2 linked regions of the Coturnix japonica genome follow. The main gene of each other region encodes a partner of the protein of the gene in region 2 in a complex. Links are inferred from orthologs where the notes say so. Each region holds a gene or a part of one and is shown on either strand. Other genes may lie near its edges. The genes, in order: LAMTOR2 and FNIP1.

The links.
Region 1: FNIP1 (region 2) and LAMTOR2 share a complex: the UniProt entries of both Homo sapiens proteins name them as parts of the lysosomal folliculin complex. The link is inferred for Coturnix japonica from reciprocal best matches to the Homo sapiens genes FNIP1 and LAMTOR2.

Annotation. Positions count from the first base shown.
Region 1 is NC_029540.1:79,231-82,897, forward strand, and holds LAMTOR2 (ragulator complex protein LAMTOR2), read left to right. Parts: upstream 1-1,610; 5' UTR 1,611-1,734; coding exon 1,735-1,802; intron 1,803-1,916; coding exon 1,917-2,079; intron 2,080-2,471; coding exon 2,472-2,561; intron 2,562-2,799; coding exon 2,800-2,856; 3' UTR 2,857-2,998; downstream 2,999-3,667. Other genes in the region: UBQLN4 (ubiquilin-4), read right to left, coding at 1,363-1,506; RAB25 (ras-related protein Rab-25), read left to right, coding at 3,534-3,573. UniProt on the Homo sapiens protein: As part of the Ragulator complex it is involved in amino acid sensing and activation of mTORC1, a signaling complex promoting cell growth in response to growth factors, energy levels, and amino acids.
Region 2 is NC_029528.1:1,524,643-1,529,170, reverse strand, and holds the start of FNIP1 (folliculin-interacting protein 1), read right to left. Parts: upstream 2,885-4,528; 5' UTR 2,868-2,884; coding exon 2,674-2,867; intron 1-2,673. UniProt on the Homo sapiens protein: Binding partner of the GTPase-activating protein FLCN: involved in the cellular response to amino acid availability by regulating the non-canonical mTORC1 signaling cascade controlling the MiT/TFE factors TFEB and TFE3.

The sequences.
Region 1 (3,667 bases), on a different chromosome or scaffold from region 2:
ATCCACAGCACCCACTGCCAACATCTCTGCTGTGTGATGGGGAGGGACCAGCACCTGCCAATAAGATTGTCACCGCCAGCTCAGCTGGGGCGTCCCCGAGTCAATAGGTGAGAATAGAAACCTTTGCATTTGGAAGCCACAGAGTTCAGGAAATCCACATGGAAAGGCTGGGAGCAGAAGATCACAGCTTTCCTGGGGCAGCTCGCTGCCATGGTCCAGAACTCCCGAAAAACTGGGCCTGGGAGGACGGACCCCTGGCACTGAAGTGACCCAGGGCGTGAAGCTTCACCCGCTGCTCTGCACGCTGACAGCACAGGGCTGGGAAGCAGCAGGGCCACGCACAGCACACAGCTCCTGCCCAGCTCCCAGCACACGCTGCAACCTCGTGCCCTGAAGCCCACATCAAAGTACACAGCAAAACACACACACAGCCAAGATCCACAGCACTGACACCACTCTGCCCCGGCGGGCACTGCCACCTGCACAACGCTTCTTGTGAACCCTCTGCTGCCCTGCAAACACACAGTGCCCCTGTGGAGCTCCCTGCTCACAGCAAACCCACATGTCTGACGTCCCCTTCCCTCTGCTTCACTCTCCCTCTGCCCCAAAGGCAGAAATGAAAGGTCTGAGAAGGACGGACAGAGCAGCCTCTGGCCTCAGCCCCACCGCACACATCCACTGCCCCACAGCTCCCCGCAGCCCAGCCCCAGGGCCGCGTCCCATCACAGCACCCACCCGCTGCCTCTCAGCTCCCCAAGCTGCAGCTCCCGCTGCTCTTCCAGCAGCTCCTGCCAGCCCCGGAGCCGCGCCCCCATGTGCCCTGACCTGAGGCATCTCCGGGCCCTAAGGGAGAAGATCCCTGATCCCTCCAGGCCCAGCCGCCCCACGCAGCGCCTCCCCGCTGTCCCACAACACCCCCACTACCAGCAGCACAACCCCCGGGCCGTGCCCCTCACACCCCCCCCAGCCCGCAGACCCCTCCCGGCCCCCCCTTCCCGTTCCCACCGGCACATCCCGCCCCCCCCTCCCGCACCGCCCCGACAACGCCCCGTTCTCGCCCCCCGGCGGGTTCCAGCCCCTCGGCTCCCGCACAACACACGCCGTCACTCCGCTGCAGCCCAACCCCGGCCCCACGCCCCCCATGGCCGGGGAGGCCCCAGCTCCGCTCAGCCCAGCTCCGCTCCCGCCCCTCACAACCTTCCCCCCCCCGGCTCCTCACACCCCCGAGGTTCCTCCCTCCAATTCTCGCCCAACCCCTCCCGCCACCTTCCCGCTCCGCACCCTCCTCGGTCTCGCGGCCCGTGTCTCCCGCGGCCCCTCGCAGCGCTCAGGCCTAGGCCCCGTCCTCCGTCCCGTCCCCACCTCGCGCACGGAGGCGCCGTCGGCGATGACGATCTCCTCCTTGTCCTTGGGGGTCTTCACCGTGACGCGGATGAGCGCCCCGCCGGGACCTCCCAGCTCCGACCCGCCGGGGCCCGGCCCGCCGCCGCCACTCGGCTCCGCCATCTTCGCCGCCCGCCCCGCCAGCCCTGGCCGACAGAGAAAGGCCGGGACAGAGCGCCGCCACGGCCCGCGCCGCAGCACAGCGCCCCCTGGCGGCGGGGAGGATCGAGAGGCGACGGAACCGGAACCGGAACGGAGCGCGGAACCGCCCCGAACGGAACCGAACGGCAGCAAACACCGAACGGGGGCGGCCTACACCGGGAACGGGCCCCGCGCCCCGCGCTGCCTGCCATGCTGCGGCCCAAAGCGCTGACGCAGGTGCTGAGCCAGGCCAACACCGGCGGCGTCCAGAGCACGTTGTGAGCGGGGACGGGGCCGGGGGCGGTGCGACCGTACGGTCATTGCGGTGTGATGTGACCGTACCGTCACGGCGGGGCTCGGCCCGGAGCTGACCGTTCCCCGCTCCGTTGCAGGCTGCTGAACAATGAGGGCTCGCTCTTGGCCTACTCGGGATACGGAGACACGGACGCCCGCGTGACCGCGGCCATCGCCAGCAACATCTGGGTGGCCTACGACAAGAACGGGCACCACGCGTTCAACGAGGACAACCTGCGCTTCATCCTCATGGACTGCATGGTACGGAACGGCTGCGGGACCCCACGGGATCCATGCGGGACCCCCGGTGTGCGGGACCCACAGCAGCACCCACAGTGGGATCCGAGGTGTTCAGCAGCAGCTTCTGTGTGGGAGCCCAAGGGGTCCGTGTGAACCCCATAAATCTCAATGTGACCCCATAAATCTCAGTGTGACCCCATAAATCCCAATGTGACCCCATAAATCTCAGTGTGACCCCATAAATCTCAGTGTGACCCCATAAATCTCAGTGTGACCCCATAAATCCCAATGTGACCCCATAAATCTCAATGTGACCCCATAAATCCCACTGTGACCCCATAAATCCCACTGTGACCCCATAAATCCCGCTGTGACCCCCTGAATCTCCGTGTGACCCCGGTTCTCTCCGGCAGGAGGGGCGCGTGGCCATCACCCGCGTGGCGAACCTCCTGCTGTGCATGTACGCCAAGGAGACGGTGGGATTTGGGATGCTGAAAGCCAAGGTGAGGGGATGGGGGTGAGGGGATGGGGGTGAGGGGGTGGGGGGCTGCATTACGGTGAGGTGTGAAAGAGCCACGGGGTTAAAGCCGGGAGGAAGAGGATGGGAGAGATGGGGGAGGAATTGCAATCAAAATGGGAACTGTCTGCGTGGGTCCCAGATTGGTGCTGGGGTGGGACGGGGGTTTGCCCACAGAATGTGGGCGCTGGGGGCTGCACCCCTCACCACCATCCCTGCCCCAGGCACAGGCGCTGGTGCAATACCTGGAGGAGCCGCTGACGCAGGTGGCCGCATCCTGAGCTGCATCTGAGCTGCATCCTGAGCATGGAACCGCGCTGCCACGGCTGAGAGCAGCGCCTGCACGGGGGGAACCGTGTTGTGAGCCCGGCTGTGCTGCTGGGCAGCAGGGGAGGGGAAATAAAGCCACGTGTGGTGCTCGTGTCCTGAGTGTCTGTCAGATCAGTGCAGGGTGGAAGGGTGGGACGGGGTCAGCCGTGCACCCAGCCAGGGGTCTGTGGTGCAGCTGGGAGCGTTGTGCTGTCCCTGCTGGGGCTGCTTCCCCCACGTTCCCATCTCTCTGTGCTGGCAGCAGAGGTGCAGGCGGCCGTTGGTGCCCGGCCAGCTCCATGCTGAGCCCAGGGCCCCAGTGCCCCAGGCTGCCCCGCGCCGCGTGGCCTTGGCAGCCAGGACCGGGCCCGGCTCCTCCTCCAGGTGCCCCGTGACGGTTCCAGGGGTGACATTACCTGCCCAACCTGCGCTGCCGCTCCCAGCCTGCACTCAGCCGCCCTGGGCCTCCCTGCGCCGCCCGCGTCGCCTTCACTCCCCGACCGCGCTCCCTCCTGGGACCCCCCTCACTGCTGGGACCCCCCTCACACCCCGACACAGAGGAGACTTTGCCCCCCTCACCACCCCCTGCAGCCCGCCCCGCTCTGAGCTCTGCGGAGGGAAGGAGGAAACCGGGCGGCAGCCGGGAGATATGAGCAGCACTGAGGACGACTACAACTTTGTTTTTAAAGGTGAGGGGGGCCCAGAAGGACGGGATGGGACGACGGGGGGGCCCTGGCTGCACAGTGCCCTCCCCAGGCTGTGGGTTCCCAAAGCAGGACAGGG
Region 2 (4,528 bases):
CTGTCTCCACGTACATAATCTCATGCCACAAAAATTTCTGCTGCAGACCCTCCATTGGAAATACATGCACATATTTAACAAGAAGTGACATAAGAACAAAGCCATAAAGCTTGAGAGCAATTCACTGAGCTCTGGACTCATCCTACTGAGCGCAGTTTGGAATGCTTTGATTCCACACACACCTGCAGTGCCACATCCCTGGTGATGGTAGGAGCACAGGGCTGGCAAGGTCCTGCTTGGCCTGCCCTGCCTCCTGCCACGAGCAGGCCACCACCAGATGCACAGCATGGCCAAGGATCCTATTTATAGCAGAAGTTACCCTTGGGGAAAATCCACTCACGTGAGTATTATTTGCAGCAGACAGCTGGTACTCGACACCTTAGAGCTTAAGGGTTGTCTCTGCTCTGGAATACATGCAGGTGTTTCTTGTAAACATATTTTACTATAAAAGCATGGAATGTTTTTGCTCTTGCTACAAACACCTGGCTGCACGGGGAGAGTGCAGTCTGAAGATCAGCTCTGCTGACTGTCACCAGTTAAGCTGACAGGTTAAAATACCAATATGTAGTGGATCTTAAAGCTGCTTCTCACATACAGGGGAAAGAAAAACCAAACAAAGTGAGACATCAGCAAATGCTTTGCAGCTGCTGACTTACTGGGCACCTCCCTGGAAGGGGCAGCCTCTCCACACCTGCTTCTGAAGTGCTGCTGCACTCAGCCTCAACGTGTCACATCCCCACCTGAGACAAAAGGATTCTGGGCAGGAGAAAGAAAAGTAATAAGGAAAAGCTTCCAGAGGAAAAGGTAATTTCTGTTATTGTTGAAACAACATAAGCTGAGATCAGTAGAACTTACGCTTTAGTAAACGTTCACAATAAGTCTGAAGGAAAGGCAGAATATGGTCAAAGAGAGGAAAAAAAGCATTAAAATAATCCTAAAACCACTTGCTATACAGATGTCACTGCCATAGAAGCTGGACTTTTCTCTCTCCTTATCAACCCCTAAATATATTAAGTGAATTTATATAATTGTAAGGTATTTTCTACACAGTTTCTCGCTAAGAGGACCAACGAGAAGGCAATCAACAGCAACAGCACGCGGTATACTTGGAAAAGGTTTCCTTACTGAGAATATAAACCAATAGTAACATGAAGTATCCATGAAGATACACTTGTATCACTGAAGGCAATGACACTGATGCCCCGGTACTTACTAGAAGCACAGAAGCAGACAAAAACTGGTTTCCAGGCTCCAAAACCCAGCTATCATAAATAACAGTATTTTGTGTATTCTCCATAAGTTTTGCCCACAACCAACGCGGCCATGTGTAGTGAGGATTAACTCCAGACTTATCCCCAGTTGGAAAGCAAAAGAAGCCACTAGGCAATGTGCCTACAGGCCATTGAAATCCAGCACTTGGCTCTTGGAATCACAGCCCCATCCTACACCTCAACCATCAGCACCAAGTGAACAACTGCGCATCTACCAGCAGCTGACGGTTCCCATGACACGGTGAAGCAGCACTACGTGAGTGGAGGAGGGCAGAGCAGACAGCGTGACATATCTTCAACGTCCACATGCAGTTTGGCACGCTGTGAGTTGAGAAGGAAGAAGAGGCATCTCCCAGCAGAGCTTTTGCTTTGTGATCCACATGCTTCTGCCTGGGGTCTGCAGCCCTGGTGTCCCTTCCCCAGCAAGGAGCCTGACCTCAGAAATAAGCTAAGTTAGAGAATCAGATGATACGGACATCGTTAAAAAGCTTTGTCTCCTAAAGTACGTATATTTTAAAGGAGCCACTACCACAGCCAGGAGAGAGAGGAGAGCAGCATCTCCAGAAGGCAGCTCTATGAGTTGCAGCACCAGCCTTCAGGTGCTGCCCAAGCTGCGTGCTGACCACACAAGGGCTCTGTGACCACCGCGATGCTCCGACAACAGCACAAGCACCACGAGCCGCCCGAAGCAGCGGGTGCAGGAATCACATCCCCACGTGCACTCAGGTGTCCCCTTCCCGGTGGGGCTGTCAGGGCAGCAGATGGGAGCAGCGCCTCGCACAACGTTCGGTCCACACTCAAACTGCAAACTTTGCACTTTAAAACTATTTCTCAGGGCCACCTTCTGTCCCTCCAGCCAAGAGGGGGCTGCGTGGCTTCCCAGTGCGGGGTGCTCTATTTTAAAGCCCAGAAACCGAGTCGTTCCCACACGACGGCCCCGAACGGAGCTCCGGGTGGATCCCACCGCCCCTCCTCAGCCCCACTGCTGCGACCGAGGACCCAGCGCCGTCGCGGTGAGATCGTGACAGATTTCACCAGTAACCCTACACCTCTCTTGGCAGCGACTTAACGTTTTCTCCTCCTTTTTCTTCACGTTTTTAAGGTCGCTCCCTCCCGGCTCGCAGCCCCGTGACGAGCGGCATGGCGCCGGCCTCCCTCACCATCCTCCCCCCTTCCCGGCCCCGAGCATCCCCCGAGGGAACGTCGGGAGCCCCCGCAGGGCCGCCCCGGGGGCCATAAGGAGGGCGGCGGGGCCGGGCCGCCGTGAGGGGCAGAGCCCGGCGGCGGATGGCGGAGGAGCGGCGGGGAAGAGGCGCTGCCCGGCCCCGCACGGCCCCTACGGCGGAGCGGGAGCCCGAGCTCGGGGCGGGGGGGAAGGAGGGCGGCCCCGGCGCCGCGTTACCTGAAGACGCAGTCGTCTCTCGCGTCCCTGGCCGGGGAGCTGAGGCCGTGCTTCTTGTTGAAGAGCTTCTGGAACAGGGTGGGCGGCATCTTGGGGAGCCGCCGCCGCTGCCCCCCGCCGCCGGGCTCCGAGCAGCGCCGTCCCCGCGCCGCGGCTAGTTCCGCCCGCCCGACTCCATTCGGTGTCACAGTCATATGACAAAAATTAGTCACTCGGCGCTGCCAGAAGGGGAGGGCCGGCGGGGCGGGCCCGGCGGGGCGCTGCGTGGGACGCTGAGTGGCTGAGGCCCCACGTGGGCAGGGCGAGGGGGAAGCGGAGCCCGCAGCCCCCGGGTGGGGAGCGGAGAGAGGGGCCGGGGAGCGGCGGAGCGGGGCGGAGCGGGGCCGGGCTCCTCCTGCTGCACGGGAAAGGCCACGAGGGGCCGAGAGCCCGTGGAACAGCCTCGGTCGGGAAACACCGCCGGGACCCACACCCACCCACCTACCCACCCACCTACCTACCTACCTACCTACCTACCTACCTACCTACCTACCTACCGTACCACTGCCCGTGTGCCCCCGTGCCACGTCGCCCCGCTCCGGAACAGTTCAGGGACGGCGGCCTGTGCCGGTGCTCAGCTGCTCTTTGAGAGAAGTAACTCTATCTTACATCCAACCTGCAGCACTTAAGAAACTTTTCCTTGAAAGTGGAAACAGGTTTCAGTTTGATCTCCTCGGACAGGTCAAGCTTTGGGGTTGGAAATAAAGAACAAACTCATCTCCTCCCACCTTTCATCTCATCCAGGCCTGCTCAGGGTGGGGGGCTCCCCCAGCACAGACAGAAATAGCACTCCAAGCTGGGAGGAAGGAAGGCAGCCACGTGTGCTGTGTGCAGGGGAAGCCATCGTACCCATAAAACATCCATCTGCCAAACGCATTTAGGACATAGTAACCCACACATAACCCACATGTGAATCCAGACCAAACACAAGCCAAAGGGAGCATTTTTTGCAGAAGCATTTATTAGGTTTAAACCAATGGGTCCAGTTAACAGCCTCCTTCACTGTCTCACTTGTTAAGATACAAGACTAGCAGAAAGTGAAAATAATTAGGAACTGATTAAATAGAACTGACTCATCTGCTTTCCCTGGAAAATGGAATTAAACTAAGTCAGCATGTGACATAATGTTACATTAGAAATGCTTTTAAACAAGGATATTTTGTGCATAAGATACACAACCACCTGCAGGATCTCTGGTTTTCATCCGCTAGAAGTTGATGCTTGTAACAGAAAGCAGGAACCAATGTTCAGATGCATCCTTCCCCCTTATTCTGGATGGAGGACACACCTGTGTGCCACAGGCTCACTAAGGAGAGCTCTCTATATCCCTTCACCATGTGAAAGCCTTCAAACTGGGCACATAAATACAGTTTCAGATGAGATCTCCAAGTACAGAATACTATAAAACAGTAGATTTTGCCCAGGAAATACAGCTGAGCTTTCAACAGCTTCACAGTTAACAGCACTGAAGACTGAGCTAACGTCAAGTGGATTCAAAACCAAGTTGTCAGAGCCCATTTAGAGGTGAGTCTGTTCCAAAGCTCCAAAGTTAACAGCATGGGAATCAGGCAAGATTTGTTAACACACCTTAACCAAGAGAGCAGAGGGGAGGATGGATAGGAAGAGAGAAAAGAATGAAATATGTTTCACCACCCATTTTCCTGAAAAACCTCCCCACGGGTTTTTCCACAAATCCTCACACCTGCATGAAAAACATGAATTTCAACTTATCTGCCCATTCAGTATGAGTCGCCTCAGACTCCAAACCCAGCCCAGAGACTGAGGTTTAGAGAACTAACAAACAGAACCATCTGCA